Linked DNA regions of Canis lupus familiaris. The protein of the gene in region 1 purifies or fractionates together with the protein of each later gene. This does not show direct contact. Links are inferred from orthologs where the notes say so. Each region holds a gene or a part of one and is shown in the gene's direction. Other genes may lie near its edges. The genes, in order: CHD3, ZNF512B, MTA3, CDK2AP1, MTA1, SMARCB1 and HDAC1.

Evidence for each region.
Region 2: the proteins of CHD3 (region 1) and ZNF512B purify together in Homo sapiens (affinity purification with mass spectrometry; 3 studies listed by BioGRID and IntAct, with this or other methods). This does not show direct contact. The link is inferred for Canis lupus familiaris from reciprocal best matches to the Homo sapiens genes CHD3 and ZNF512B.
Region 3: the proteins of CHD3 (region 1) and MTA3 purify together in Homo sapiens (affinity purification with mass spectrometry; 4 studies listed by BioGRID and IntAct, with this or other methods). This does not show direct contact. The link is inferred for Canis lupus familiaris from reciprocal best matches to the Homo sapiens genes CHD3 and MTA3.
Region 4: the proteins of CHD3 (region 1) and CDK2AP1 purify together in Homo sapiens (affinity purification with mass spectrometry; 6 studies listed by BioGRID and IntAct, with this or other methods). This does not show direct contact. The link is inferred for Canis lupus familiaris from reciprocal best matches to the Homo sapiens genes CHD3 and CDK2AP1.
Region 5: the proteins of CHD3 (region 1) and MTA1 purify together in Homo sapiens (affinity purification with western blotting; 7 studies listed by BioGRID and IntAct, with this or other methods). This does not show direct contact. The link is inferred for Canis lupus familiaris from reciprocal best matches to the Homo sapiens genes CHD3 and MTA1.
Region 6: the proteins of CHD3 (region 1) and SMARCB1 purify together in Homo sapiens (affinity purification with mass spectrometry; 3 studies listed by BioGRID, with this or other methods). This does not show direct contact. The link is inferred for Canis lupus familiaris from reciprocal best matches to the Homo sapiens genes CHD3 and SMARCB1.
Region 7: the proteins of CHD3 (region 1) and HDAC1 purify together in Homo sapiens (affinity purification with mass spectrometry; 14 studies listed by BioGRID and IntAct, counting the BioPlex papers as one, with this or other methods). This does not show direct contact. The link is inferred for Canis lupus familiaris from reciprocal best matches to the Homo sapiens genes CHD3 and HDAC1.

Annotation. Positions count from the first base shown.
Region 1 is NC_049226.1:32,947,597-32,952,063, forward strand, and holds the start of CHD3 (chromodomain-helicase-DNA-binding protein 3), read left to right. Parts: upstream 1-1,317; 5' UTR 1,318-1,342; coding exon 1,343-1,613; intron 1,614-1,709; exon of another isoform or gene 1,710-1,791; intron 1,792-4,467.
Region 2 is NC_049245.1:48,272,611-48,276,501, reverse strand, and holds part of ZNF512B (zinc finger protein 512B), read left to right. Parts: intron 1-50; coding exon 51-143; intron 144-340; coding exon 341-439; intron 440-524; coding exon 525-695; intron 696-929; coding exon 930-1,124; intron 1,125-1,377; coding exon 1,378-1,479; intron 1,480-1,787; coding exon 1,788-1,850; intron 1,851-2,354; coding exon 2,355-2,453; intron 2,454-2,780; coding exon 2,781-3,028; coding exon of another isoform or gene 3,029-3,032; exon of another isoform or gene 3,033-3,434; coding exon 3,435-3,492; 3' UTR 3,493-3,891. UniProt on the Homo sapiens protein: Involved in transcriptional regulation by repressing gene expression. Associates with the nucleosome remodeling and histone deacetylase (NuRD) complex, which promotes transcriptional repression by histone deacetylation and nucleosome remodeling.
Region 3 is NC_049238.1:34,445,579-34,449,469, forward strand, and holds part of MTA3 (metastasis-associated protein MTA3), read left to right. Parts: intron 1-1,529; coding exon 1,530-1,681; intron 1,682-2,679; coding exon 2,680-2,902; coding exon of another isoform or gene 2,903-2,925; exon of another isoform or gene 2,926-3,032; intron 3,033-3,891. UniProt on the Homo sapiens protein: Acts as a component of the histone deacetylase NuRD complex which participates in the remodeling of chromatin.
Region 4 is NC_049247.1:6,510,132-6,514,761, forward strand, and holds the start of CDK2AP1 (cyclin-dependent kinase 2-associated protein 1), read left to right. Parts: upstream 1-1,636; 5' UTR 1,637-1,850; coding exon 1,851-1,905; intron 1,906-4,630. UniProt on the Homo sapiens protein: Inhibitor of cyclin-dependent kinase CDK2. Also acts as a component of the histone deacetylase NuRD complex which participates in the remodeling of chromatin.
Region 5 is NC_049229.1:73,159,891-73,164,385, forward strand, and holds the start of MTA1 (metastasis-associated protein MTA1), read left to right. Parts: upstream 1-1,355; 5' UTR 1,356-1,498; coding exon 1,499-1,910; intron 1,911-2,371; coding exon 2,372-2,439; intron 2,440-4,495. UniProt on the Homo sapiens protein: Transcriptional coregulator which can act as both a transcriptional corepressor and coactivator. Acts as a component of the histone deacetylase NuRD complex which participates in the remodeling of chromatin.
Region 6 is NC_049247.1:28,807,010-28,810,900, reverse strand, and holds part of SMARCB1 (SWI/SNF-related matrix-associated actin-dependent regulator of chromatin subfamily B member 1), read left to right. Parts: intron 1-315; coding exon 316-453; intron 454-2,406; coding exon 2,407-2,534; intron 2,535-3,891.
Region 7 is NC_049223.1:68,298,254-68,301,170, reverse strand, and holds the end of HDAC1 (histone deacetylase 1), read left to right. Parts: coding exon 1-54; intron 55-148; coding exon 149-279; intron 280-558; coding exon 559-711; intron 712-1,225; coding exon 1,226-1,274; intron 1,275-1,548; coding exon 1,549-1,576; 3' UTR 1,577-2,163; downstream 2,164-2,917. UniProt on the Homo sapiens protein: Histone deacetylase that catalyzes the deacetylation of lysine residues on the N-terminal part of the core histones (H2A, H2B, H3 and H4).

The DNA of each region.
Region 1 (4,467 bases):
GCGGGGTCGGGTAAGGGGGGAGCGAGTAAATCAGAAAAGAGTGCAGATAAAATTTACAACAATTATAAATCACTGAAAAGCCTGGGCAAAGGGGAGAATCAAACATGGACTCCTTTGAAGAAAAAAAAAAACCTCAATCATCGTATCTATTCATATCTCTTCCCCCCAAAAGTCACTAGGATTTCTGTCACTTTTTTTTAAAAGAAAGGGGGGAAAAATCCAGCCCCGTGCCTCACTTGGACGGTACGTACACAATTAAATGCGTTTTGACTCCAGCGAGGTATGTAGAAACAAGAGTTATATATAAACATATATTTCATCTTTTCCTTTTCAATGCCTGAAGGGGAAAAAAAAAAACCTTCACATCAAACCACTCCCTTCTGAAGTATTCAGAAAAAAAAAAAAAAAGCTTTTCTTTAAGAGAAGGGAGGTGGGGAGGAAGAGACTAGTAAAGAAAAGAAAAATATTTAAATCTAGTTGGACTAGTATCTAACTAGTTAACCTTTAACAATTTATGCTGATGTCAGACTGAGCATGAGTACTGATTAATGCCCCCCCTCAAATATTTTTATGGGGGGGGAGTTAGAAAGAGCAGCCATTTTTGTTTTATGCAGAAACCCTTCGTGCCCCCCCAACGCGCACACTCACACACACTCACACACACACAGTACACAAGGAAAATATCTCTATTAATCTGTGCACTAATCAGTTATGAAAAAAGGGAGAAATTTGTGGGTTTCTGGGTAGAGGCTAGGAGATGGGGGTGTAACAGGGAGGAGAATGGGGGGGTGAAAACTGAAATATTAAGCCAGCCATTTTGTTTTAAAAGGGGATTTTTCCCCCCTCTCCCTTTCTTCATGGAGGGGGTGGCGGTGCTTGGGGGGGGGTTGTTTTAAAAATAATTTCAAGGCGGCCATCTTACTGCCTCAGCTCTGAGAAATATTTCTGAGCGCCCCCCTCAGAATTTAAATATATTTAAAGCAACGGAGAGGGGGGCAGAGAGAAGTCGAAAACTTTTATATATATATATATTTTTTAATCCCCCTTTCTCGTTCTCTTGGGAGGAAGGGGAGGGGGGGAAAGTCTCTCAATTTTTTCCAAGACAATTTTTGGGGGTGGTTCGGCCCCCCTCTTCAGCCGGCGGCCCCGAGGGGGGGTTCTGGAGGGGGGTGGCCCGGGGGTTTGGGGGGCTGGGGGAGGCGGTGGGGAGGAGGAGGAGGACGCCGCCGAGGAGGAGGAGGAGGAGGAGGAGGAGGAGGAGGAGGAGGAGGTGGTGGTGGTAGCGGTGGGGGAGGCGGGCGGGCGGTGGGTGGGGGGGTGGTGGGGGGGCCAGAGCCACAGGATGGCTTCCCCTCTGAGGGACGAGGAGGAGGAGGAGGAGGAGATGGTGGTGTCGGAGGAGGAAGAAGAGGAGGAAGAAGAGGGCGACGAGGAGGAGGAGGAGGTGGAGGCGGCCGACGAGGACTACGAGGAGGACGACGACGAGGGAGTGCTCGGGCGCGGGCCGGGCCACGACCGGGGCCGCGACCGCCACAGCCCCCCCGGCTGCCACCTCTTCCCGCCGCCGCCGCCGCCGCCGCTGCCCCCGCCGCCGCCGCCGCCCCCGCCGCCAGGTAAGCGGCCGCCCCGAAGCTCTCCCCCCGCCCCCCACCCCCCGGCCCGAGCGGGAGCCGCGGGCGCGCGAGGCCGGCCGGGGGCGAGGCACCCACCGCGCGGCCGAGCCGAGGTGAATCCGGGGGCGCGGGGCGCCAGCGTCGGGCCCGGGGCCCCGGGCGGGCCGGGCCGGCGGGCGGCGGGCGGCGGCGGCGGCCGCGGGGCCAGGCCTCTTCCCCTCCCCCGCCGCACCCCTCCCCCGCCGCCGCCGCCGCAGCCGCCGCCACCGCCGCCGCCGTCGCCGCCGCCCGGGCTGGAGAGCGCTGGGCGCGAGCTGCGCGCGCGGACCGGGCCACTCGGTCGCGGCTTTCGGGGGAGGAGGAGGAGGAGATTTTTTTTTTTTTTACCCTCGGCTGGGAGGGGGTAGGCAGGAAACGGCCGCGGCGAAGCCAGGGCCCCCTCCCTGGCCGAGCGAGGGACCGCGGAGACCCTGGCGGCCGGACGGCGGCGTGGAGGAGGGGCGCGTGGGGGAGGGGCGGCCGCGCGGGCGCCCCTCGGGCTCCCGCCCGAGTGGGGTTGCACTGAGGTGACGGGGAGTTTCCGCGCGTGGAGCGGACCGCGGGCCTCACCGCCCCCCCTCAGGGGCGGGGGAGGCGGGGGTGGGGGTGGGGGCCAGCGTCCCTGGGACCCCCCACCTTCGGGAACCTGGGCGCCCGCCGACTCCCCGGGGCGCGCGGTGGCGCGTGGGGGAGAGGTCGCGTGAGCGCCTGCGGGCGGCGGGTGATGGGGGGCAGGTGGTGGCCGCACTCCACGCAGACCACTTCCTGGACTCACGCTTAATCCGCCTCAGGGCGCCCCCTCCCCCCCCCCCGTCCTAATCGGGAGAGCACTCCTTGAAGGTTGGGGAGCGCGGGGAGAGTGTCTGTGACCAGATGCCCCCAACTCCACCCCCTTTATCAGCACCCTGCTCCAGGCTCTTTTGTGTCAAGTGCGAGCCCCCTCCCCCCCCCCCCCCGCCGTGTGACCCCGTCAGTCTGGGGTGGCCGAGCTGCCCAGCTGTGACTCTCACGTGGCTGCCATTCACTGTCACTCTCGCTGAAACCACCCGCACCTTGATCATGCCGGGGAATGGGGGGGCGTGCACTGCCCACCCAGCTGTTCTGCAGCTTGACCGTCACTCGGCACCCCTCCCCCGGGATGACAAGTCCTCTGGCGCTCTCTGGGCAGTTCCACCAGGGCTGGAAGGGACTGGGACAGCCTGCTGCCTGGAGTGGAGGGGGGGCGGCAGCAACGGCCCCCCTCAGACCACCCTCCTAATGCAGTGACTGCCGATCTTCTGGAGGACAGGGGAGCATCCTTACGGTGCTCGCATCTTTGGGGCTGGAAAGGGGACATCCACACCCCCAGGCCTCTGGGAGCCCTGTAGCACGAATGCATCAAACTTCAGGACGTCTATCTTTGTAAAACTGTCACATTGATCTGTGTGGCTTATGTGGCAACTGTTCCTGTTCGGTTGAGACAGCCTTTGAGGAGTATGGGGTACCTTCTTGGGGTGAGGGTGGTGGAGGGTACGTGTCTGATGGAAACGGGGACACCTCCCCTCCCCAAGCTTGTCTGAAAAAGAGAAAAGTTTTCAGAAAGTTATCCCAGAGAACCCACGAGGTTTCAGGAGGGAGGAGGAATAAAGGATGGTGGGGAGGGGGTGCCTGGAACCCAGCTGATGTGCTAAAAAGAGGGAGAGAAAGGATGTCAGGTTGTGTTGCCCCGCGGACAGTTCTCACCTATTTGTAGGGCCAACTTGGAATGTGGTGTTTATGCGTTTTTGGTCTGAGATTTGGGAATGTAAGAGAGGGGCATGAAAGAATCTGAGGTCGAGGTTGGGTCTTTTGTGTCAGTCCTCCCTCCCCACTTCCCCTCTGCTCTCTCAACAGCCCAGAAGAAACGTCAAATGTTTTTAAAAAAATTTGTATCTGAAATGAAAACCCACCTCCTCCCTCTTCCAGGGCGATCGTACCCCCCCTCCCCCAGTCTTGAGGCCCTCCCAAGTCAACAGAGTGACCCAGATGCACTACCCCCCCCCCGGACTTTCTGAGGCAAAACTTTGAGAAAAATATTTTTGGTCCGCTCGTTATTTCTGTCTACCTAGGTGTGGGCAAAATAAGCCTCCTAGAAGGAAATGTGTGCGGGCTGCCCTCCCTCATCCTTCTCCAGAATATGAATTCGCACATATTAGAGGTCTATTGTTTTTCATCCTGACTGCTTTGATTCTCACCATTTTGTTTTACATTCTTACCCAAGACCAATTTTATCCCTCCCCCCCTTCTCGGCTCCTTACGTTGTAAAACGTTTAAAATAATAGCACTCATGTTGGTGGGGGAAGGGAGCAGGAAGCCAAAAACTCATTTCTTCTCCCTCCCCCTTCTGGCAAGTCTCGAGAAATAATATAACATAATATATAGATGTGATTCCTTGGGGGTGGGGGTGGGGAATGATTGTGGGTGGTGCGGAAAATTCTGGTAGTTTCTTTGCAAAAGGTCTGAAAATACAAACCCACCCCCTGCCTGCAGTACGCATGTGCAGCAGACCTATTATGGTGGTGCGTGGTGGGGGAGGGAGGGGAATTTGAGAAAAAATAAATATATGTGTGAGAGATTGATGGTGAGATTAGAGGGAGAGCGGGGCGGGCGGGAGGCGCGGCCTGGGCCCGGCTCCGCCCGCCTCTCCCCCGCCCGCAGCCCGGCGCGCCAGGCCCCGCCCCCGCCGCGCACCGCCCCCCCCGCCCCCGCCCGCTTCCCGGGATCCGAGCCGGGGTGTGGGAGAGTCTGGGCGCCGGGCCAGCATTGAGTGGCTGCTGAGACCGAGGTTGGGACTTGG
Region 2 (3,891 bases), on another chromosome or scaffold:
AGGCGGGGGGTGCCCAGGGTCAGCGTCTCACGGCAGGGACGCGTGTGCAGCTGCAGGACGCTCTCAAGTGCCAGCACTGTCGGAAACAGTTCAAATCCAAGGCGGGACTCAACTACCACACCATGGCTGAACACAGCGCCAAGGTACACCCAGACCCACCGACCCCTGCCTCCTAGTCCGTCCCCCCACCCTCCCTCCCCTGACCACTGACCTTTCATCGCCACGTGGCAGCAGAGCTCGCTGGCTTCCGTGGTGACCTTGGACATCTCAGGCCCTGACCCCGGGGCAGGGGCCGGGGCCCTGTGGTGGTGGGGATACTAAGGCTGGGCCTGCCCCCCAGCCCTCTGACGCTGAGGCCTCGGAGGGGAGTGAACAGGAGGAGCGGGAGCGGCTGCGCAAGGTGCTGAAGCAGATGGGGAGGCTGCGCTGCCCCCAGGAGGTCAGTGGGACGGCCGGGGGCGGGGCTCGCGTGGGATGAGCCGCAGCAGCCCCCCGGCTGGCCACTCACCCAAGCCCGACCCCAGGGCTGCGGGGCCGCCTTCTCCAGCCTCATGGGCTACCAGTACCACCAGCGACGCTGTGGGAAGCCTCCCTGTGAGGTGGACAGCCCCTCCTTCCCCTGCACCCACTGCGGAAAGACTTACCGCTCCAAGGCCGGACACGACTACCACATGCGCTCGGAGCACACGGCCCCGGTGAGCAGCCCGGGGCCTGGGTCCTCCTGTCCCTTGGGCCCAAGCCTGTGTGTCTCGTGCCACCTGCCGTGCGCACTCTCCCTTCTTTCCTGGGGGCCACAGGCGTGGGGACTCGGGAGCCTTGGACCCCGGGGCCTCTGTGTTTGCGCCTCGCGGCCCATGCCCTTGTGCCTGTGCGCCTGCGCTCCATGCCCCGTGGCCCCTGCTGCTCACCCTGGCCCCTCTGCTCTGCAGCCACCCGAGGAGCCTGAAGACAAGCCCCCCGAAACGGAGGACCTGCTGGGGGTTGAGCGGACTCCCAGTGGCCGCATCCGCCGCACGTCGGCCCAGGTGGCCGTGTTCCACCTTCAGGAGATTGCAGAGGATGAACTGGCTCGAGACTGGACTAAGCGGCGGGTGAAGGATGACCTGGTACCCGAGACTGCCCGGGTGAGCTGCCGCCGGGTCCCCGACTCCCGTGTCTGAGCAGGACGTGGTTTAGCTCAGGGTCTCCCCTGTGATGGCCCTGCCCCTGTGACCTGGGCCGTTGGCTGACCTTCCAGGTCCAAATCCCCATTTGCGGAGGGCACAGCCGAGGTGCTCAGAGCCGCTGGGGCTATCCGGCCTCAGCTCTGACCTGGCGCTCGGGGCCCCCGTTACATAGGCCCACGGGGCTCACGCTGGTGTGCGTCTGTTCTTGTAGCTCAACTACACTCGGCCAGGCCTCCCCACGCTCAACCCCCAGCTTCTGGAAGCATGGAAGAATGAAGTCAAGGAGAAAGGCCATGTCAACTGCCCCAATGATGTGAGTTTTGGGGTGGGCTGGTGGGGCGGTGTGAGGGCACTGGGATTCAAGGACAGAGAGCCCAGGTGTGACCCTGGGTAGGAGGAGGCTTCCAAGTGACCAGCTCACCTGTGACCTGCAGGGCCCTTAGATGGAACCCCATGACCTTAGCCCTAGAGGTCCAGCCTGCCCACAGCTCAGGCTTCCTGGGGCCGAGCCCTGCACTTAGCCCAGAGAAGCCCCACATCCCCCCGGGTGAGGGGTGCGTGTGCATTCGTGCGGGGGCATCTCCTGGGAGGCGCTCTCCCATGGCTGCCTCCTGTCCCCAGTGCTGTGAAGCCATCTACTCCAGTGTGTCCGGCCTTAAGGCTCATCTCGCCAGCTGCAGCAAGGTCAGTGCCCTGGCCCGTTCCCGTGGTGGGTTGGGTGCTCGGCACTCCTAGCCAACCCCTAGAGGTCCCCACACATTGGATGTGTGACCCTACCCCCGTGGGGCAGCCTCCTCCATGAGCCCAGGGACCGCCCAGCGCCTGGTGGCCAGCCCTGCCCAGGACACTCCCGCTCAAAGTTGTTCCGTCCACAGGGGCTCCTTGTCCATGTGGGTGTGAGCACTAACTTGGGCTTGGGGTGAGGGGCTGTGCCCTGGAGCACTTGCCTCTTCTCATTCTCTCCTTATCCGTCACCTTTCCTTAATGGTGGCAACTCAGAGGTCCTGCCACAGAGAAGCTGTGTGGGTCCTTGAAGCCCATCCCCATGAGCTGTGGCTTCCCCGACCCTATAGCTACACAGGTGCAGGAGGAGGGGCAGGTGCCCTGGTTGGGTCTGATGCTTCTGGTCCTGCAAGGATTGGGGGTGGGGTCCAATGTCTGGTGGCCGGCCTGGCCCATGCTTTGCAGGGAGACCACCTGGTGGGGAAGTATTGCTGTCTGCTGTGCCCGAAGGAGTTCAGCTCTGAGAGTGGCGTCAAATATCACATCCTCAAGACCCATGCGGAGGTGGGATGGGCTGGGGGCCTTGCTGGGCCTGGGGCAGATGGGCTGACCCCACAGCGGGGAATGGGCCAGGGTGGGAGTGGCGGAGTAGTCACTTGTGTGGCCTTTGAGGGAGCAGCCAAGGTTAGGAGAGCTGGTGGTTTCCCTTGAGAGCGGCTGCTGGCTTCCCTGGAGGAGCAGAGAAGCCTGGGTGCCCTACCCCCGTGCCCTGCCCGGGCGGCACGCTTCACGTGGGTGCCCTGTCGCTCAGCCGCCTGAGCCATCTGTCTGGCCCCAGGACTCAGCACTCTCCTGTCCCCGGGTCTTCATTGTGGTTTCTTTCCTTTCCAGAACTGGTTTCGAACTTCTGCAGACCCACTTCCCAAACATAGGAGCCAGGACTCGCTGGCACCCAAGAAGGAGGAGAAGAAGAGCCTGGCGGGTGGGAAGAAGCGAGGCCGAAAGCCCAAGGAGCGGACCCCTGAGGAGCCTGCACCCAAGATGCCCCCCCGTCGGGATGACTGGCCCCCAGGAGGCAGAGACAAGGGGGCGCGGGGCTCCACTGGCCGGAAGGCGGGAGCCAGCAAGGCTCCTGAGAAGTGAGCGTGGTGGCTGGCAGGTGGGTGGGGCCCGGTCCCCACGCTGGACGCCAGGTCCACTGCTGAGGGGGGTAGCTGGCTCCAGGACCTCCTGCCCTCTGGGTCTCCACCCCACACCCACCTGTTCACCTGCCCGGTGGAGGCAGCCAGCCCCTCTCTCTTTCCCGAGGATGGCCCTTCCCCCGTGCAGGCTGTGTAGGGCACACGTGGCGGGGTCCCTTAGGGGAGGGCCCGTGGCAGCCACAGAAGTGCAATAGCGTGGAGGGGCGCTCACGGGCTCGGCAGGGTCTGGGGCCCTGGACGGGCAGGAGGAGGGTCTGCAGCCCAGGCCTCGGTGCCGCAGGGCAGCGCAGGGCGGGCAGGTGGCCTTCACCGTGTGAGCTCCGTGCCCCGTCTGCTTTCTCAGGCCCAAGGCTTGGGGGGTCCTTGGTGACCCGCGGTTCTGGGCTGATGAGGGCACCTGAGCAGCCTCACCTCTCCACCCGACACTGGACCCCAGCACCCCCAGCTACCTCCCAGGACAGGCCCCGAGGCTGACTGCTGCCGTGCTGACCTGACGGCCTGCCCCACCGTGGCCTCCCTCGTCCTTCCGCCTCCGGTTCCTCTGCTTCTGTTCTCTACCTCTCCAGGCCCTCCCCCTACCTGTGCAACCCCTGCTGCGCTTGGGCTCCCGCCCGCTGGCCCCTGGGCACCATGCTGGGTGGGGGTGGCCCTGTTAGCAGGGCACTCCGCCATCCCACGCCCGTGGGTGCTCCCTGCCTGGGACAGGGGGAGGGTCCTGCCCTCACCTGCAGGGCTGCAGGAGGGGGGCCGGGGGCCATGTGGAACACAGCTTTGCCCCCAGTCTCTGGCTTTGTTGCCAC
Region 3 (3,891 bases), on another chromosome or scaffold:
TGTATACTTAAATATGAGTGAAATTTTATTATTTTTTTTTCAAAGATTTTATTTATGCATGAGAGACACAGAGATTGAGGCAGAGACACAGGCAGAAGGAGAAGCAGGCTCCATGCAGGAAACTCAATGTGGAACTCGATCCCGGATTCCAGGATCATGCCCCAGGCCAAAGGCAGATAGATGCTCAACTGCTGAGCCACCTAGGCATCCCATGAGTGAAATTTTATAGTCATAATCCAAACTAGGTCCATGCCTAATACTTAAGATTCTTAAAATTGTGTTTAAAAAAAATCAACTTATTTGACTTACTGTTTTAAATTATAAAAGGAAAGTTTTGGGGGCTGCTGTTAGCAAGGAGTCTACCAAAAATAATACACGATGGGTGCACAGTATTATTCTCAAACTAAGATGCAGTTTGATTATAATGGCCAGTATATTTTCTCTTTTTGACATTGGCTTGTGAAGTGTTAGTTGACACCTTGATGTGCTCTTTGAACACTTTGACCTGACGAAGTTAACTTATAAATCAGGGGGAAGAGTATTCCAAGGGAAATATACAGATTATAATAATTTATACATACCTCATTAACTTAATGTTTTATGCCATCATTTCCTATCTTAAACTTCAGATCCATTGTAGGAAAACTTTAAATGCAATATGGGAGCAATTCAAACTGCAGCAAAACTGATGAAGGCTTGCAGTGTTAAGTGGTAAATCAGCCAAGTTATTAGGTCTTAAGCCTTTTGTGATCTTGGCTGCATATGCTCCCTTGATCTGGACTTAAATAGTCTTGAAAGGGATTCTGTTTTTAAAGGGAGAAATACTAAAATGATTACTTTGTTCATTTATCTATTTCTGACAGATTCCTACCTTAATCAGTGGGGCCTCTCTGAGCACCTTAAACTCTGGGGTAGTTTCTGGACCATCAATTTGGAGATTTAGACTTAAAACACTCATATAATAATAATAATACCTTTCTGGGGCAGCCCGGGTGGCTCAGCGGTTTAGCGCTGCCTTCAGCCCAGGGCATGATCCTGGAGTCCCGGGATCGGGTCCGGCATCGGGCTTCCTGCATGGGGCCTGCTTCTCCCTCTGCCTGTGTCTCTGCCTCTCTCTTTCTCTCTCTCTCATGAATAAATAAATAAAATTTAAAAAAAAACTTTCTGATAACTTATTTACAGAAATGTACACAATAGGGGGTATTTTTAATGAACAAAACTCCCTCAGTAATAGCACAGCATATTATATAAGATACTTCATCTAATAGCTTCTCTTAACAGGAGCCACAGGTTTGCTCTCTTGCTCTCTCGTTCACTATGAGAGAGAGAGAGAGAGAAATGGTTTAATGAACCCTGCATCTTGAAAATACATGTATATTAGACTTTTATGTTTGGTGAACTGCAGAAAGAAAAATAACATTATAAACTAAAGATTACTTTGGAATATCTTTAAAATATTTGATGGTATATGTATTGATGTTACAAATTATATAACACTTTGTCTTTTCATATTTTTCCTCTGTCTTTAGCTACACAGTCTCATCAGTGGTATTCTTGGGGCCCACCTAATATGCAGTGTAGATTGTGTGCAACCTGTTGGCTCTACTGGAAAAAATATGGAGGCCTGAAAATGCCCACCCAGTCGGAAGAAGAGAAGTTATCTCCTAGCCCAACTACAGAGGTATATGAGCAATAGTCTTTGACGTTGAGAAATGTCATTTTAATGGCTTGATCACTCCTTGGAAACAGAAGTACAGTACAGGATAACTTAAAAGCAAAAAATAAAAGCGAACAAAGCTGTTTTTTTATAACTAAACATAGCACCATAATATTTAAGGTGGGTGTGGAGAGAGGGCAGGGACAAATCAAATTTTTTCAGGTATTCAAAATATTGTTCTTGTGTGATTGCTCAGACAAAAGAACAATATGTGTGGGAAGTGTTAACATAAGTAGAGAGCTTACAAATTAAATGATTTAATTGCTTTTTGGGAAACAGTTTGCAACCTTTAAATACTGTAAAAATATGCCTTACTACATAAAGTAATAAACATAAACTGAACATTTTTCTGTCCCTGAGCTATCATAGGAGGAACAAGAAGGTGATATGGACTCAATCTTGAGATAAACAGTTGAAATAGGATTTTGGTAAAATTCTCAGATTGCAGATATAAGCACCTGTGTCGACCAGAGGGAGACTTCTTTTTAAGGGCTAACAGGATCTCAGGACTCCAGCACTATTAAAAAATAAGATAATTTCATTAACCCCCTTGGCATTTTTTTTTTAAATGTGATTTTGGATTCTTAAGGTCAATGTCCATTTAAAAACCAAAGCATAGGAAGGAGTGCACTTGTGATGAGCACAGGGTGGTGATGGATGGAAGTATTGAGTTACTATATTGTATACCTGAAACTAGTATAACACTGTATGTTAACTACCTGGAAGTAAAATAAAAACTTTGAAAAACAAAAATATAGGATCACACATCCTCCTACCCCTACACAGTTACCTTCTCTACTCCCCTACCCTCTTTCCGAAAGTGCATACTTCTAATTTCTTCTTTGGGAGTAGGGTATTAACTTCTAGATGCTTCAGTGGAAAACTTAAAAATTGCCTTTTCTTTGAGCCTGATACAAATAGCATTCTTTTCTTTACATGTCTGTTGGTATCTGATTTTGCAGGACCCCCGTGTTAGGAGTCACATGTCTCGCCAGGCCATGCAGGGGATGCCAGTCCGAAACACTGGGAGCCCAAAGTCTGCAGTGAAGACCCGCCAAGCTTTCTTCCTCCACACTACATATTTCACAAAATTTGCTCGTCAGGTCTGCAAAAATACCCTCCGGCTGCGGCAGGCAGCAAGACGGCCGTTTGTTCCTATTAATTATGCTGCCATTAGGGCAGAATGTAAGATGCTTTTAAATTCTTAACCTTATGTGTTGTGCTTCTGACCATTTTCTCTCCTTCCCTCTCTTTTTTGTTTTTTTTTTTGTTTTGTTTCGTTTTTGTTTGCAATAAACATAAGTTCTTGTGTACAGCCTTTTATTTGGTTTATTTTTTTTAACATTGTTTTTGTCTGCTGCCATTTGTATCATGCCAACCTGAAAAGGAAACACTGGAACCTCTGCAGCCCCTCTGCAGAGAGCATAGTACTCAGCAGAGAATTGGTGGGAGGCGCCCTTATTCAGAGAGGTCTTGTGATGGGACTGCCCGAGAACCCTTATGGGAAGGCACTTTCACCTGTAAGGTCATGCCGAGATGTAACCCCTAAGGATGGTGTCACAGTGAAGCCCCATAGATGAGACATTCAATCTGCTCTTACGTGCCTTCATTAGGTTTGAATAAAATTTGCCAATTTACACTAATTAGAAATTGCATGTCTTTGTAAACCTCTCATTTTCCCATGAACCTTTTATAATTCTACAATATTATGGAAATTCAGAGTGCTTCATAACAAACACTACAGTAACTGGAAAATGGAGCAAATTATAAATGGATTTTAGTGTCTTTGGGTGAATTTTCTGAAAATACATATTTAGTTCTTACAGGCTAATGACCAAATTTATGGTTGAGCATTCTTTCTATTTGTCTAATTTGGTTTCCATTTCATTATCATACATATATTACCGCATAACATATACATAATTATTACTCTCATTTTCAACATGTTCAGTCTTGGCTTATGTTTCATTTTTTTGTTGTTGTTAGAACAAAGGTCATATGTATCAGTGAATTGTGGGTTGTTCTGTTATTACCATGTACCCCTAAAATGTGTCCATACTTTGTGTGCCAGCTCTGATTCTAGTCTTGCTACGTTTAGTCACATCCCTGACTGCCATGTTAGAGCCATGCAACTTTCTCCCCTAAAGGAGAAAACTTGCTGTCTGGCTTAACAG
Region 4 (4,630 bases), on another chromosome or scaffold:
GAGTATTTGAGCCCCTGGGGCATTGTAGGAGAGCTTGGTATTAATTCATTCACAAAATAAAATTTGACTGGCATCCTTGGCTGAGCAAGCCTAAAGCTGATCACTGGTAGTTCTGCTTAAGCTGGGAAGGGGTTTATCACCTGTACTTCCTTTATTCTATTTTATTTATTCATGAGAGACAGAGAGAATGAGAGGCAGAGACACAGGCAGAGGGAGAATCGGGGTCCACGCAGGGAGCCCAATGTGGGACTTGATCCCCGCACCCCGGGATCACACCCTGGGCCGAAGGCAGGTGCCAAACTGCTGAGCCACCCAGGGATCCCCCATATCTTTTGTATTTTGACAAGCTTTACTATTTAAGTGGAACTCCAAGAAAAGTTACCTTCAAAAGCTTAGTCATCTAATCAAAGTCATATATTTGCTGATATGTCTCAGTCAGACCTGAGGATGGGCGGGAGGGGTGGGGGTGGAAGGAGCATAGAAAATTGTAATGCTAGGCTCTGGGATGGCTCAGCCAGTTGAGTGGCCAACTCTTGGTTTCCACTCAGGCCATGATTTCAGGGTTGTGAGACGGAGCTGCACATTGAGCTCCGCACTCAGCAGTCTGCCTGTCACTCTCCCTCTGCTCCTCCCCCCCCCCCACTTGTGCTCTCTCTCAAATAAATAAAATCTTTAAAAAAGGCAGGGGGCGGGGGTAGCACCTGGGTGGCTCAGTGGTTGAGCATCTGCCTTCTGCTCAGGTGGTGATCCCAGAGTCCTGGGATGGAGTCCCGCATCCCGCGCGGGCAGCTGGGAGCCTGCTTCTCCCTCTGCCTATGTCTCTGCCTCTCCGAGACTCTCATGAATACATAAAATCTTTTTTTTAAAAAAATTGTAATGCAAACATCAGGAGAGTAGAAACTTGGTCAAGTTCATTCTCCTATCCTTGGCGCCTGGACGGGTGCCAGGCACGAAGTAGTAGCTTCTTACATATCTGAAGGAGTTAAGAGGTAGAGTTCCGTGGATACAAGAGTGAATTAATTTTCCAGGGAAGAGGCCTTTGGCTTTTGTAAATCTCTAAGGAGCCTCGTAGGCCCCCGAGGGGTTAAAAAAAAGAAACAAACACAACAACAACAACAACAACAACCGCCACCACCACCACCACCACCAAAACCCGCTTAATCCAGACAGGGACACGAAATTTATTTGAAATCCATGCCGAGCATTGGTTGTTCTTATTCTGGGGACTGGCCAGACCTCGGCATCTGGAATGATCTACGTGCTCAAAAATACCAGTCGCCACCATTTTCTCCAGGTACTTTTCCATCCCTGCCCCCACAGTCCAGGGGGAAAAAAAGTGATTCTGAAACCCCACCTGGCCATTCAGAAGAGAGAGGGGGCAAGGGACGAAGCGGTGAGACGGCGAGTCCGCGGGCGCAGAGCCCCGAGGAAGGGCCCACGAGGGCCGCGGGCGCCGCCGGACCCAGCCCCCCAAACTTTGCCAAGTTGCGGGCGCCGAGCGCGGCCCGAGGCGCGGGGCGCGGCCGCGGGCGGAGCCGCCCCCTGACGCCGGGCCGCCCCCTCCCGGCCCGGGCCGGCCCCGCTGGCTCCGCTCAAAGTTTGCGGCCGCCCCTGCGCCCGCCCGCCCGATGTATGGGTGATATACTGCAGCGGTGTCAGGGTGAGGGACGGCCATATTTGCCGGTGCGGCCCGAGCCGTCAACAACAAAAAGTGCGCGGGAGCGCGGCGGGAGCACGGACGGGCGCCCGGACGCGGGGGCCGCCTCGCCGCCGCCCGGCCTCGCCGCCGCCTCGCCGCCGCCCCCGCGGGCCTGGCCCCGGCGCCCCTGCGCGCCCCGCCGCTCGCGGGGATGTCTTACAAACCGAACTTGGCCGCGCACATGCCCGCCGCCTCCCTCAGCGCCGGTGAGTGAGTGCGCCCCGCGGCCCGCGCGCCGCGCCCCGAGTGCCGCCAAGTTGGGGGCCGGCGCGCCCGGCCCGGCCCGGCGCTCGGGGGCCCGCGGCGGCCGGGGGCGCCGGGCGGCGGGTCCCGGCCCGGGGCAGCGCGGCCGCCGCCGCCATGATCCCGGCGCCCGCGCCGCCAAAGTTCGCGGGGGCGCCCGGGGCCGCGGCGGGGCTCGGCGGGGGCCGGGGGCGCGGGCGGGCGCCGGGGGCCCCCCACGCCGGCGGCCGAGGGCTCGCGGGGAGCGCGGCGGGCGAGGGCGGGGGAGGCTTTTCTCTGCTTGTTCCTCCGGCTCTGGGCGGCTCGGCGAGGGCCCCTGCCGGCGGGAGTCGGGAGCAGCCGGGCCACGCCGCGAGCGGGGCGCGGGGCGCCCTTGGGGAGCGGGGCGCGGGGCGCGGGCCCGGGCGGGGGGCGGCCGCCGGGGGCGTGCGAGCGGGGCCCGGCCGGGCGGGGGCCGGGCGGGGGCGGGGCGGGGGCGGCGAGCGGGCGGGCTGCGGGCCGCGGGCGCCCTGAGGGCGCGGGGCCGCCGGGGTCAGCGCCTGCGGGGGACCCGGTCGCCGGCGGGGGCTCGGGCGCCGCAGCCTCAGCCTCAGCCTCAGCCTCAGCCTCAGCCTCAGCCGCAGCCTCAGCCGCCGCCGCCGCCGCCGCCGTGCCCAGAGCGCCGCCCGCCCGAGGTCCTCAGCGCGCGCCGACTGACAGAAGTTGAGGGCACCGGGGCTCGGGCGCCGCGGGCAGTGGCGGGCGCGTTCCAGCCCAGACCCCGCGCCCCGGAGCCCCCGCCTCTGGGCTTGGAAGCCCCTCCGCGGGAGCCGGGCTGCAGGGGCGTCCTCTCCCTTCCCGGGGGCTGGAGCCCGGCGAGCCCAGGAAACTCCTCCCGAAGTTGTCAGCCAGCTTCAATCCGTGCCCAGGGGCCTGCCCCAGGGATCAGGGAGGCCTGCGTCGGGGGGACGCGAGACGGCGACGTTAGGCGGGACCGGCGTCGCCCCTAGCCCGGCTCTCCCTGCCTCAGACGCTGCGCTGGAAATAGACTTCCAGGGAGCCAGCGCGCCGGAGGGGGAGGGGAGAGGCCTTGTGGGGGAGGGGATTGGCCTTGCTGGTCAGAAATGCCACGTTGGCAGTTGGCCGCAAGTTTTGGGCCTTGTCTCCAAACGGTAACTCCATAATCCCAAAAATCTGAAGAGGGACCCAGAAAAAAAAAAAAAAGTATATATATATATATATATATATATATAATGTATGTATTTTAACTTACTGGGACACAGATTTGGGGGTTGGAAAGAGTTAAGATTCAGGGTGCCGGTGAGGGTATAGTTGAATTCGTTAAATTTGGGATCAGCGTGCCAAGAACACACAGCCACTATTTTCTCACATGTTCTCACCACCTCCTTTGGGGTCTGCAGACCTTACAGAGAGGCAGACTTTGTGGCCCAGGTAGGATTTCTCCTTGCCTGCTTCATCTGTCTCTGAGGTGGGCAGAGTGGAAGGTCTTCCTGCCAGCCTGGACACGCTGGAGATCTCAGGCCTGGCCTGGTATAGTGGAGGCAGGTGCCCTACGCTGGGACCTTTGGGGATTGGGGTCAAGTGACAGGGGCACCCACTCAGGACCCCTGAAGCCCTGTTCTGGCTGGCTGGCACCTGCGCATGGGTTTTCTTCTATGGTGATTTCCAGGAGTACTGCTGAGGTCCCCAGAAGCTGGTGGGTTTTTTGGAGGGGGGCTGTGCCCCTCCCCACGGACCCTTTACAAAGCCCCAATCTCCCCCTGCCATTTGCATCCAAGATGGACTCTGCGCTGCCGCTCCTCAGGCTTCCTTGTCATCATCCCTCACGCCCTCCAGCCCTGCCTCCTGCTCGCGGGTTGCCAAGCCGCGGCCTGGCCGGCGGTGGCAGTGGCGGAGTTAGACAAAGCCCCCGCCTCCCCGCCGGAGAGCACACCCCCCCCCAGGCGCCCCAAGTGGCGGGAAGGCCGCCAGCTCCCCAGGCCCAGGCCGCTCTTTGTCTGGCGTGGGGGCGGGGAGCTGCGCCTGGCCCCAGGAGCTGCTGGCCTCTGCCAATCCCTCCCTCGGCTCGGGCCCTCCCTGGTCCCTGCACACTGCGTGCATTGTCTGTGATGCTCAGAGACTGTCGTGCTCACGCCCAGTCTGGTTTTCTCCCTGGCCTCCTGCAGCCTCATGCTCTGGCCCTCCCTGTGTCTGCCGAAGTGCGTGGGCATGAGTAGAACTCAGGGCCCTTCTGCCATCTCTCTCCAGGGCCACATCTCCCCCCCGCCTTTTCAACAAAGAGTAAGGGACTGGCACTGACACGGAATTGGGGTCACCTACCACATCACATGGTGATGGGAAAGGCAAGCCCCGAGCTATTACCCGACCCAAACCAGGAGATTTCTCCTCCCTCTCCCTTGGCCTCGCAAGACCTAACCCTTGCCCCATGGAAGAGTGGGATGTAGGCCTTTAGACATTGTGTTGGGAATCATTGCCCCAAACAGATAGAGAAACTGAGGCCCAGAGAGGGAAGGGCCTCATCCAAGGTCACACAGCCAGGAGTGGCACAGCCAGACCGCCTTCTGGTCCACGCCCTTGTCTGTAGGAGCTCAGATGGATGGGACTGGGAGGCAGGGAGGCAAGAAACCATGACAAGCAACAAGAGGTGAGGGCTAAGGATGGTGCAGGGAATGCACTCCTGAGTCCTGC
Region 5 (4,495 bases), on another chromosome or scaffold:
TGAGCCAAAGGCAGACTCTCAGCCCACCACGGTGCCCCTGAGCCTGATTTTTTTTTTTTTTAAGATTTTATTTAATTTATTCATGAGAGACACAGAGAGAGGCAGAGACCCAGGCAGAGGGAGAAGCAGGCTCCACGCAGGGAGCCCGACGTGGGACTCGATTCCAGGTCCCCGGGATCACGCCCTGGGCTGAAGGTGGAGCTAAGCCGCTGAGCCCCCCGGGCTGCCCGAGCCTGATTTCTTTAGGGCACAGGGTTGCCTGTTTGTCTGCAGGGAGCTCGGGGGTCTGCGTCTGCCCAGCGCGGGCCCCGTGTCACCTGAGCCGTCAGGCAGCGGCGCCGGGAGCCCCCTCCTACCCAGCTCTCGCTCACTCACCCTCCGGGTCTTTCCTTTGTCACCCTGGCCTGAGGTTGATCCCCTTACTGGCTGTTTACACGAGTTCATTTTTCCTCATTATGCTGGTTTTTGCTCATCATCTACCATCTTTTTGCTTTGCGTGTTTTCCCATCTACCAAAGCTTAACCCACCCGTCTCAGGCGTGCAGGTCTGAATTGTGGGGAGCACATGCAGGGGTGCAACTGGCGGCTGGGACGCAGCCCCGTGCCCCCCAGCCCCCTGCCTGAGCAGGGATCCTCAGAGCCGCATGCAGGGCCGGTGGGGCTCCTCCTGGGTCGTGTCCAGTGTAGACTGCATGTGAATAACAGCTTTGGTTTATTTACTTATTTTTTTTTAAAATAGATTTTTTACTTATTTATTCATGAGAGACACAGAGAGGGACAGACACAGAGGGAGAAGCAGGCTCCACGCAGGGAGCCCGATGCAGGACTCGATCCCGGGGCTCCAGGACCACGCCCGGGGCCAAAGGCAGCGCTAAACCGCTGAGCCACCCAGGGATCCCCGACAGCTTTGATTTAATTGGTTTTTTGGTTTCTTTGGATGAAAGCTTTAAGACCAATAGGGCTTTATATTAAAACTGCTCTTTTGAGCGACAATTCACGTGTGATAAAATTCACCCGCTCACGAGGCGTACGGTGTGGCCGCGGTCTGTGTTCAGAGTGTTTCCACTGCCGTCAAGCCGACCTCGAGCCCGTCGATGGCCCCCTCCCGTAGAGCTCTCTTCCCCCCCAGCCCGCGAGCGTGGCCCTCTGAGCCCGGCAGCCCTGTTCCCTCTGGGCTGTTAGTGCTGTTGCTCTTTCGTTCCGTGGAGCTCTGTGGGTGCCCATGGCCGCGTCCCATCCGGCTGTGGCCTCGGGCAGCACAGGTGAGCCCCCCCCAGCAGCACAGGTGCGCTCCCTCCTACAGTATAGGTGAGGACCCCCCAGCATAGTGAGCCTCTCCTGCAGCACGGGTGAGCCTCCCGCAGCAGCATAGGTGAGCGCCCCCATCTCCCTGCAGCATAGGTGAGCTCTCCTCTGCAGCACAGGTGAGCGCCCCCCCCCAAGCACAGGTGAGCCCCCTCAGGTGCCTGCAGCAGGTACACAGCAGCAGCAGGTGCCAGATGCTTGCTGGGGCCTCTCCACACGGTGGAGCGGTAGGACCTCTTGAGAGGACGGAGCTGGCCTGGGTCCTGGGGCAAGATCTGTGCTCCGAGTGGCCCTTTGGCTGTGTCCCGGCTGACACGGGCCTCTTGCAGGCCTTCCCTGGGGCACGGGGGACAGCGCGGGGCACCCCTGCTGGGGACTGCAGCCTGGCCTCGTCCTGGCACCGAGTCACCCGCAGCTGCCCCGAGCTACCTGCTATATCACGGCGGCGGCCAGGCTGGCAGCTGGGTGGCCTCCCGGCTGGCCTGGGCTCCGTGGGAGCCGGCCAGCCGCCCCCGTGGGCCTCTTGGGAAATCCCGGGTGCCTGCCAGCCTCCTGGGGACCGATCCCAGGCTGCTCTGGAGCCGGAGGCGAGCTGGTGCCCACATGGTGTGCTGGGGACCTGGCGGGCGGTGGCGGGACCTCGTTCCTCTGGCACCTGACCCCGTCCGCACCCCCGAGAGCCCTGCCTCTGCCCAGGGAGCCCCGGCCTCCTCCGTTCCCTGCCCGGGGCGCGTGGGGTGGGGGGGCAGGTGCAGGCGCCCGGCAGCCCCTCGGAAGCTGTCCTGGGGGAAGCTGCAGTCCGGCTCCCACAGCGTCTGCGCGGGGCAGGGGGCGGGGCGTGTGGACCCTCTGCCCGGGACAGCCCCCTCCGTCCTCTAGGACCCGTGCCCGGCACCCACCAACATGTCTGGGTACCTGTCTGTGCACTAAGGTGGCAGGGGCACCGTGTCCTTCGTTCCCTCCTGTTCCCTGGCCCCTAGAACTGGGCGCGGGTGTGAGGGGGGTCGGGGCTCCCCTGGTCCCCGGGCTCAGTGCTGCGGGGTGACGCACTCTGTTCCTGTTTGCAGACTACGTCTATTTTGAGAACTCCTCCAGCAACCCGTACCTGATTCGCAGGATCGAGGAGCTCAACAAGGTACGTGCATGGGGGGGGGCGCGTGGTGGGGGGGGGCCGCCCGGGGCTTCAGGGCCGGCCCCAGACCCTTCGGTGGCTTTGTTCCCGTGCCACACGCCTACACCTGGGTCCTTCTCCTTGGAGAGCTCTCCGTGGGGTCCCTGTGGCGGGTGTGCTCTGTGGGACAGGGGCGCCCTGTGGGGTCCCCCTGGCCGGGGTCTCCCCGCCCACCTGCTGCCTCTGCCTCTTCCCGGCTCACTCAGGCCCCTGCCGCCCCGCTCTGGGCCCTCGCAGCCGCCCCCCCTCCCGCCAGCCTCCCGCTCTGAGGCGCCCCCGGCAGCACTGGGGAGAGGCAGGAGTGTCCCTGCGGCCGTGGAGTCCCTGGCCCCGGAGCACCTGTTGTCCCCGACTGGCTGTGCTCCGTGAGGCCAGTCCTCAAGGGCTGCTCTCCTGGACCCCGAGCACGGCAGCGTGGCTGGGCATCCTTGGGACCGGCGGGCTGGGGGCGGAGGTCGGGGTGCTGGTGCTCCACGGAGCAGACTGGTGGCAGCCGAGCCCCGACCCCTGTGCCCCCGTTCCCGAGACTCCTGCGCAGCATCTGCCCGGGGGAGGGGGTGCCCCCAGGCCTCCGCTGCACACAGCGTGTGGGGCTGGTCCTTGCAGCCTGGCAGCTCCTGGGAGGCTGGGCCAGGTCTGGACGCGGCAGGGCGAGGGCAGTGACCAGGACGCTGTGGGGCCACCTCCCGCGGGTGCTTGCTGGGGGAAGCTGCCCACGGCCCGCCCGGGCAGCAGGGCCAGCAGGGCACGGGGTGGGCATCGGCTCGGGAACACATGGGGTCGGGCCCGCGACTCCAGTGAGCGGTGGGGAGCGTGGCGGGGGAGCCGGGGGCCCACTGCTGGGCTGGCCGCGGGCAGTGGGTCTCGGGTGGGGCCAGCACAGCCCCTGCCCCTCGCTTTGGCTGTGACGTGGAGAGGGCAGGTGGCACCACCTGTGGCAGCCTGCAGGTGACGGGTCTGCACGGCAGTGGCCACAGCCCGCCATTGGAGCGCTCGGGGTGGGGTCGATGGGCGTCTGCGTGTGAGCCTGCAGCCCCCTTCAGTACTGGGGTGGGGCGGGAGGGACCCTCTGGCCCCCGCAGCCCGCCTCCCCTGCTGCCCGGGGACCCGGGGCAGTCCCGGCTGGGGCCGCTGGGAGCTCGTTTTGTGGGCCCTTCCCTGCTGGGGCCACCCTGCCCGGAGCCCCCAGGCCCCCAGGGCCCCTTGGGCACAGGAGAAACGGCCCCGAGGGTCAAGTCCCCGGAAGTCGGGGCTCGTCTGGGCGCAGCTCTGGCGCAGGGCGGGGGCGGCAGCTGGCTGCGGCCCCTGAGCTCCCGGCTGGTCACCCGGCGCTCCCCGCCCCCCCACCTCTCTCGTGTCTGCTGAGCTCTTCGGAGGTCCTGGAAGGCGTCTGGGCGCTGGCGGCCTCCCCGGGGGCCGGCGGGGCAGGGGCACCGACTGCTTGCTCCAGCCCCTGTGGTTCCAAGGAGGGCGCCAGCGGGGAGCCCCGCGCAGACCCCCGCTGAGCAGGGAGCCCGTGGGGCGCGGCCCCGTGACCCTGAGGTCACGACCTGGGCTGAAATTGAGAGGCGGCCGCCTGACCAGGTGCCCCCGTGGCTGCTTCCAGTTCTGATGGGGAACCAGGCCCCTGGCGCTGAGGTCTGCCCAGCGGTGCGACAGAGGCCTTGATCCACCCCAGGGGTGCTGGAAGGTGGGGCCCAGGGGCTGTGGCCTTTCCAGCGTCCGGACGTCCACCAGGTTCTGGTCCTGAGCGAGCAAGGCCTGGGGGAGGGACGCAGGTCAACAGGGGGACCTGGCTGGCGGGCCAGGAGGAGGGTGCACCGCTGGAGGGCTCAGGTCCGCCGAGCGCCCCTCCCCGGTCAGACGTGCCCCGGCCCACTCGGCGTCAGCGCTCCCTGGGCTTGGCTTCTCCCGCGACCTGCCGGCCCTGGGGTCACTCGAGGCCCCTCTGGGCCGCCCCTGCTGGCAGCCGCCGGCCGGTCGGGGGCGTGCGTTGCTCAGACCCTGCCTTGCTCTTGCA
Region 6 (3,891 bases), on another chromosome or scaffold:
AGTCTCCTCACTCGCATTCCTCACAGAAAGGGTAGGGCTTCCATGGAGTCATGCCTAGCACATTCCGTGTTATACTGGGACTCATGCACTCCTGTGACTGCGGCCTCTCTGCACCCTTCCTGTAAGCCAGGTGCCTCTGAATGGATGCCATGGGAGCCTGAGGAGTACACGTGCAGAATCTGGGGTGCTGGGGGGTCACCACGGACCACTGGAGCCTGCCAGGGGTGCAGTGGGTTTCCACAGACCGTGACTTGGAATCTGATGGCCAGTATTGGGCTCCAAGACTGAGCAGGGACATTTCTCGCATCTCCCCAGGGAACAGAAAGCCAAGAGGAACAGCCAGTGGGTGCCCACCCTGCCCAATAGCTCCCACCATCTGGATGCTGTGCCCTGCTCCACGACCATCAACAGGAACCGCATGGGCCGGGACAAGAAGAGAACCTTCCCTCTGTGGTGAGCGTGCCTCACTCTCTGCTGATGCCGCCTTAATTTTACCCTCTTCCCTGCCTTGACTTTATGTTCCCCCAAACACTATGCTGCCTTCTCGAGACTGTTCCCTGTCGGCTTTGGGGACAGCCAGTCTCTGGCTTTTGCTCTGGCTTGCTCCAGCTTGCTCTGCCTTGCTCTGCCTGCTTCAGCCTCGCTGCTCTTGCCTGTTTCCCCAACGCCTCCAGGTTCTCACAGTTCTGGGGACAGGAGTTCAGTGCAGCAAAATCAAGGTGTCAGCCGGACCCTGCTCCCTCTGGAGGCTGGGGGGGAAGGCTCTTCCTGCCTCTTCTGGCCTCTGGTGGCTGCCAGCATTCCCTGGCTTGTGGCTGCATCACCAGTTTGTGCCTCAGTGGGTCACAGGGCCGCTTCCTCTATGTGTAATATTGCCCGGTCTTCTCCCAAAAGGACGCTTATGATGTGATTTAGGGCTACTTGCATAACCTTCTCCTCTTAAGATCCTTAATTATATTTGCAGAGTCCCCCCCACCACCGCTACCACCATATAATGGTCACAGGTTCCAGGGATTAGGACTAAATTTCTTTTGGGGGGCATTTTCAAGTTCACCCCCACTTTTATCTCTGCAGCCTGCCCTCACCTCTACACACTATCCTCAGGTATCTGTCACACACTGCTTGCCAACTTTTTGAGTCTAGGACACAGTCCTCCCTCCTTCCTGCCCTCAGGCCAAAACCCCAGAACTCTTCTCCTGCACACTCCTGCCTTCTTAGCCTTCCAAGTGTCCGGAATTGGACCGCCTTTGGCCAGCTCCCCCTCAGATGTGGGCTCCCTCGCCCAGGCCTGGAGTCCTCATAGTGGCCGCCCCCGTCTGGTTTCCTCTCTTACCGCCCTCACCCTGCGTCAGGCACATGAGCCTCCTCACTGCCTTCAGAGCCACCCAGAAGCTTCTGTAGTTCCCTCGGCCGAGAGCTCATTCCTTGCCAACACCTGCACCGCTGACCCCTTCTCCCTCTTCCTTCCCTTTCTCCCTTTCCTTCCCATCAGTGTTTGAATGTCACCTCTCAGAGCTGCCTACCCCTCTTTAGAATGGCCACTCCTGTCTCTGTCTCCTGTCGCTTTCCCTGTCATGTTTCCCAGAGCACTGCTGTCTGGCATACAGTGTGTTTTCCTCATGTTTGTCATCTCTGCCACCCCACCCCCCACCCCCACCCCCACCCCCGCCGAGCAATTCTCAGCCCTCCGTATTCCGCAGACACCCTTAGGTTCCCAGTGCCCTCCTGCATACCCCTGCCCCCCTCACCACCCCAGCCTCTTTCCTCTGTGTCTTCCTGAAATACAGATATGACTGCATAACTGCCTTGCTCTGGGTTCTCCTGGAGCTCCCTCGGGGTAGAGGCTGGATTCCATAGCCTGAGATGGAGAAGCATGGGTACTTGGACACGTGTAGCTTCTCTGTGTCCCCGACAGTGCTCCTTCCCTCCTCCCAACCTGCATCCCACCCTCAGTGCTCTGGCTCTTGCTCCCCAACAGCTCCTCACCACTCCTGCCCCTTGGATTTGGTTAAGTATTTCCTCTTCTGAAAATACTCTTCCAAAAAAGAAAAAAAAGAAAAGAAAATACCCTTCCTTACCTACAGTTTTCTGTGAAAGTTCTACCTGCTTTGGGGCTTAAATCTCGCTTCCTCTGGGGTACGTCTAGGTCATACCCCACTGCCCAAGGCCGTAGCTCCCTCTCCTTCCCTGAGTGTCCTTGAAGCCTGGAACTCTGCTCCTGTGGCTGCAGGACCCCTGCTTGCCTGGTCTCCCCGCTGGCTCAGCCCTTAGTTAACAAGTCACCATAAGAAGTGGGTTTCTCCCTCTGGCCGAGTTAGCAGTGACAGTAGTGCAAAGAGGGAGGGAGGCCCTGAGCGTGGAGACCCATGGCACCCCTTGCTGACTTTGCTGCCACTTCACTTCCAGCTTTGATGACCACGACCCAGCTGTGATCCATGAAAATGCATCCCAGCCTGAGGTGCTGGTCCCCATCCGGCTGGACATGGAGATCGATGGCCAGAAGCTGCGAGATGCCTTTACATGGAACATGAATGGTATGTGGGAGATTGGGGTCTGCGCAGCCCAGGCCCAGCTGAAGTGTGAACAGTCCTTTTTCTTGCCTCCTGCCTGTTGGGATCCTGGACTCTGAACACGACATTCAGAGCTTTGTGGCATAGATTGTTAGGGTGTGGACTCTGGGTTCAGATCCTGCTTCTGCCCCCATTTCCTGTGGGTTGGGCATGTGAGCCTCAGATTCCTTCCTCTCCTAGCGAGCTTGGGCAGGTCAGGGGCCAGTCAGGATGCAGCCTCTCTATCCAATGAGCTCACGATGACTTTGCTGCTACTCAGATCAGATCAACGCATGGCCCTCTACCCACCTCGCATTAGCTCTGTCCAACCCTCTAATCTGTCATGATGCCGTGTGTGCACGTGTCATACCTCTCTCATCCCAGTGAGGTCTACCCTCCCTTTGTCTGTTCTTCCTTTTCCCATTCTCACTCTGTAAGTCCTGGGTCAGATGCCTGCTCTTCCTGGTTCCCAGACCCTGAGCATGACTTCATGCTCAAGAGAGCATACTCTTCATGAGCAAGAGAAAGCGTAGGAGACATTTTCTTTTTTTATTTTTTTTCTAAAGATTTTGTCTATTCGTGAGAGACACAGAGAGAGAGGGGAAGAGACACAGGCAGAGGGAGAAGCAGGCTCCGTGCAGGGAGCCCAATGTGGGACTCAATCCCGGGTCTCTAGGATCACACACTGGGCTGAAGGTGGCACTAAACCGCTGGGCCACCTGGGCTGCCCAGGAGACATTTTTCAGAGTGTTTTGTCCTTATCCCATTCAGGAAGGAGGATTGCATATGTGTTTATTTTTTCTTTATTGTTTTCCTGAATCAGACTTTTTAAAACAGATTATTTATATTCAGACCAAAACCAAAGAACAGCAATGAAAAAAGCCCCAGTGAGTATAATTTTTAAATGAAGTTGAGAATCTCCAGAATCTCAGCGTTCCTAATAATAGTTTCCCTGCCAGTCATTTGGCACGTGCAAAGATATTTAACAGAGTTGTAATTATAGTGCAAGTATAATTTTATTTTTCTTCACTTATAAGTATCCTCCTGGTTTCTTTGGTCTTCATAATTGGCACACAATTTTCTGTTGAGTTGTAGTGCCTTCTTTTGCTAAAACTCCTTCTGCTATTAGACATTCCCATGGCAGAGAATATAATCGTTTACAACTTTTTTCTCCCAGAGGGGATTTCCTCAAGGAGGAACGTGTGTAGTTGTTGATATGTGGTTGCCTTGAGCTTTCTAGAGGGATTAGGCTGTTTCCTTTGGTCATCTCCTGGCACTTGATATGCCAGGTATGAGTCCAAGGGCCTCTGCCTGGCTCTGGGAACAAGGCCTGAGAGCTGGG
Region 7 (2,917 bases), on another chromosome or scaffold:
CAGTCCTTCCAATATGACCAACCAGAATACCAATGAATACCTGGAGAAGATCAAGTGAGTATATCCCCATGCACCCCCTGATTGAACATTCCAGGCTCTGGTTTGTCCCTAACCAGAGCCCAGCCACCCTCTCTACCATTGGCCATAGACAGCGACTGTTTGAGAACCTGAGAATGCTGCCCCACGCACCTGGGGTCCAAATGCAGGTGATTCCTGAGGATGCCATTCCAGAGGAGAGTGGCGACGAGGACGAAGAAGACCCTGACAAGCGCATCTCTAGTAAGACCCAGATCCGGGGGCGGTACCTTCCCGTTCAGTAGGTAGCTCTGGCTTCCCACCCCTGTTCTTGGTTCCATGTTCCTCCTAAGCTACTCATCTGTTGAGAAACCCATGTTCTAGTTCTTGGGACAATTTAGGGAGTCTGAGTTTCCTTCCCCTCTTCTTAGTCACCCCCTTCCCTTGGTGTCTCTTGGAGGACACACAGGGAAGCACTGGGCACAGACCTTGAGGTAAAGCTGATCTCCTGCTGTCTCACTTACATTTCCCATTGCCTCCCAGTCTGTTCATCTGACAAACGAATTGCCTGTGAGGAAGAGTTCTCGGACTCTGATGAGGAGGGAGAAGGTGGTCGTAAGAACTCTTCCAACTTCAAAAAAGCCAAGAGAGTCAAAACTGAGGACGAAAAAGAGAAAGACCCAGAAGAGAAGAAAGGTGGGTTTGGGTCATGCCCAGACTTGGGTCTTGAGCCCCAGGCCCCAGAGGAGGATGAATGTATGTAGGGCTCTAGGAGGGAGCTGACTCAGGCCCTGCCTTCTGTTGGGGTTCTGCCTCCACCCCCAGAAACAGCAGGACCCACAAAAGAATGAAATTCAATTTGTTATCTGCACTGGCCGGTTGAGCCCTGCCAGGCTCCAGAGCCAGGGACATGCCTAGTCTCCCCATGGTCAGGAGTGTGGCTCTCACACACCACCCAAGCCCCTTTCCCAGTGCTTCACCCCAGGTTCCCAGGGGGCTGCCCCCGCCCACCGGGTTCAGGCACTAGCAGGCTGGGAAACCGGTCCAACCTGTTTGTTCTCTGCAGGGCTCAAGGGGGAGGGCCTGGGATGGGCTTTTCTCTTTTGTATGTCCAGTGAGCTGTGTTGGGGAAGGGGGTTCAGCCTAAGTGAAGATTCCATGGGTCTTTCTGGAGGGGAGCCTTGGCCATCCCTGCACTCTTATGTTCTAGAAGTCACAGAAGAGGAGAAAACCAAGGAGGAGAAGCAAGAAGCCAAAGGGTGAGGAAGGAGCTGTCGGCCATCTCCCTGGCATTGGAGCACCAGCCCCTTTGTCCGCCCTGCCGAGGGAGGCGCAGGGACAGCTGGTGCAGCTTACAAAGACCTCTTTCAGGGACCAGTCTGTCTGTCTCTGCAGTTCTAGGCAGAGCTAGGAAGCCCCAGCCCTCGGCAGTCACCTGGGCAGCTGGGGTCCTATAGAAGTCATTGTCCCCGTATTTTTGCCTCCAGGCCTCTGGGGCACGTTATCTCATGCCAGTCTCTGCTCTCTCCACAGGGTCAAGGAGGAGGTCAAGTTGGCCTGAGCAGACCTCTCCAGTTCTGGTTTCCTGCCAAGTTCCCCACCTTTCTCCCACAACCCCTCAGATTTTATATTTTCTATTTCTCTGTGTATTTATATAAAAATATATTAAATATAAATATCCCCAGGGACTAGACAGGAACCAGGGCCCTGAGCCTAGGGCACACATTATGAGTGAGCTTTTCTAGTGGCTGCCTCGCCACCCATCCTTCCCCAGTTCTTAATTTTGAACCATAAAGGGTACCGGTTCTGGAAGGCATGCTTTTAAGCAGCCATAGGACAAAATCCAGAAATGCCAAGTGCCTGCTTCGTAGCTTTGGAAAGGTGCCCTCATTGAGCATTCTAGGAGTGGCTGGGTCTTCTGGGACCCTCCCATCAGGCTCCTTAAGGTAACATCAGCCATTTTTAGATTGGTTCTCTTATCATACCTTCCCACTGGCCCCATGTGAGCCAAGGAACTCACTGCCTGCCCTCTATCCTTGCCCAGTTCTGCAGGTGGAGATTGATAAGTCAGGTATCCTTTTTTGAGATACTATTTTCATTTTCATGAGAATCTTTGTAATAAAATGGTACATTTCTACATCCTCCTGAGCTTGTCTCCTAGCAGTATCCCTGGGTTGATTTCAACTCCACTTCCCTGCCCTTCTCGTGTCCAGGAGAATCTGGGCAACTCCATGAACAAGGAAACAACCCCACAAACTTAACCTTCACCCTAATCCCTCCCACAAGGGTTGAGGTTAACCGATCTTCTCACCCTACCCCCAGAAGACCACTCATTAAAAAGCACTACTAAAGGGACGACATTTATTCCTTTTCCAAATGTTACAGTAAAACCAGGTGGAAGAGAATGGTTTTAGCAGTTAGAAAAAAAAAAAAAAGTACAAATCTGGGGTTTGGCCATTAAAAGTTATTTACAACAATGGGAGGGGGAAAAAAAAAGACAACAAGAAGTTGTTTCACATTACAGACCTCCCCCCCACCCCAAAGCCTAATACTTGCTTACCAAGTCAAAAAAGAGACACAGTCGATTCACAAGCTGGAGGTTTGAACTTGAGTAAGACATTTATAAAAACCTAGACAGGGGCAGTGTCCTCCCCAGCCCAGGTGCCACTAGGCACAGCACAAGAGACTAAAAACTCAACAGAGGGGAAGGCTGGACACTCGGGTTTGGGAGTGTAGGCACCCCACATCTGGCTCAGGGATTTGGGGAGTAAACAAAACCTACTTGGAAAAGAACTGGGGAAGAAAACCAGCAATTGCCTTCTGCAGGGGTAGGGGCAGGAGAGGTAGGGCCAGGGGCAGGAGCATATTTCACATCACTAACCTAACTCGGGAAACTGCAAGG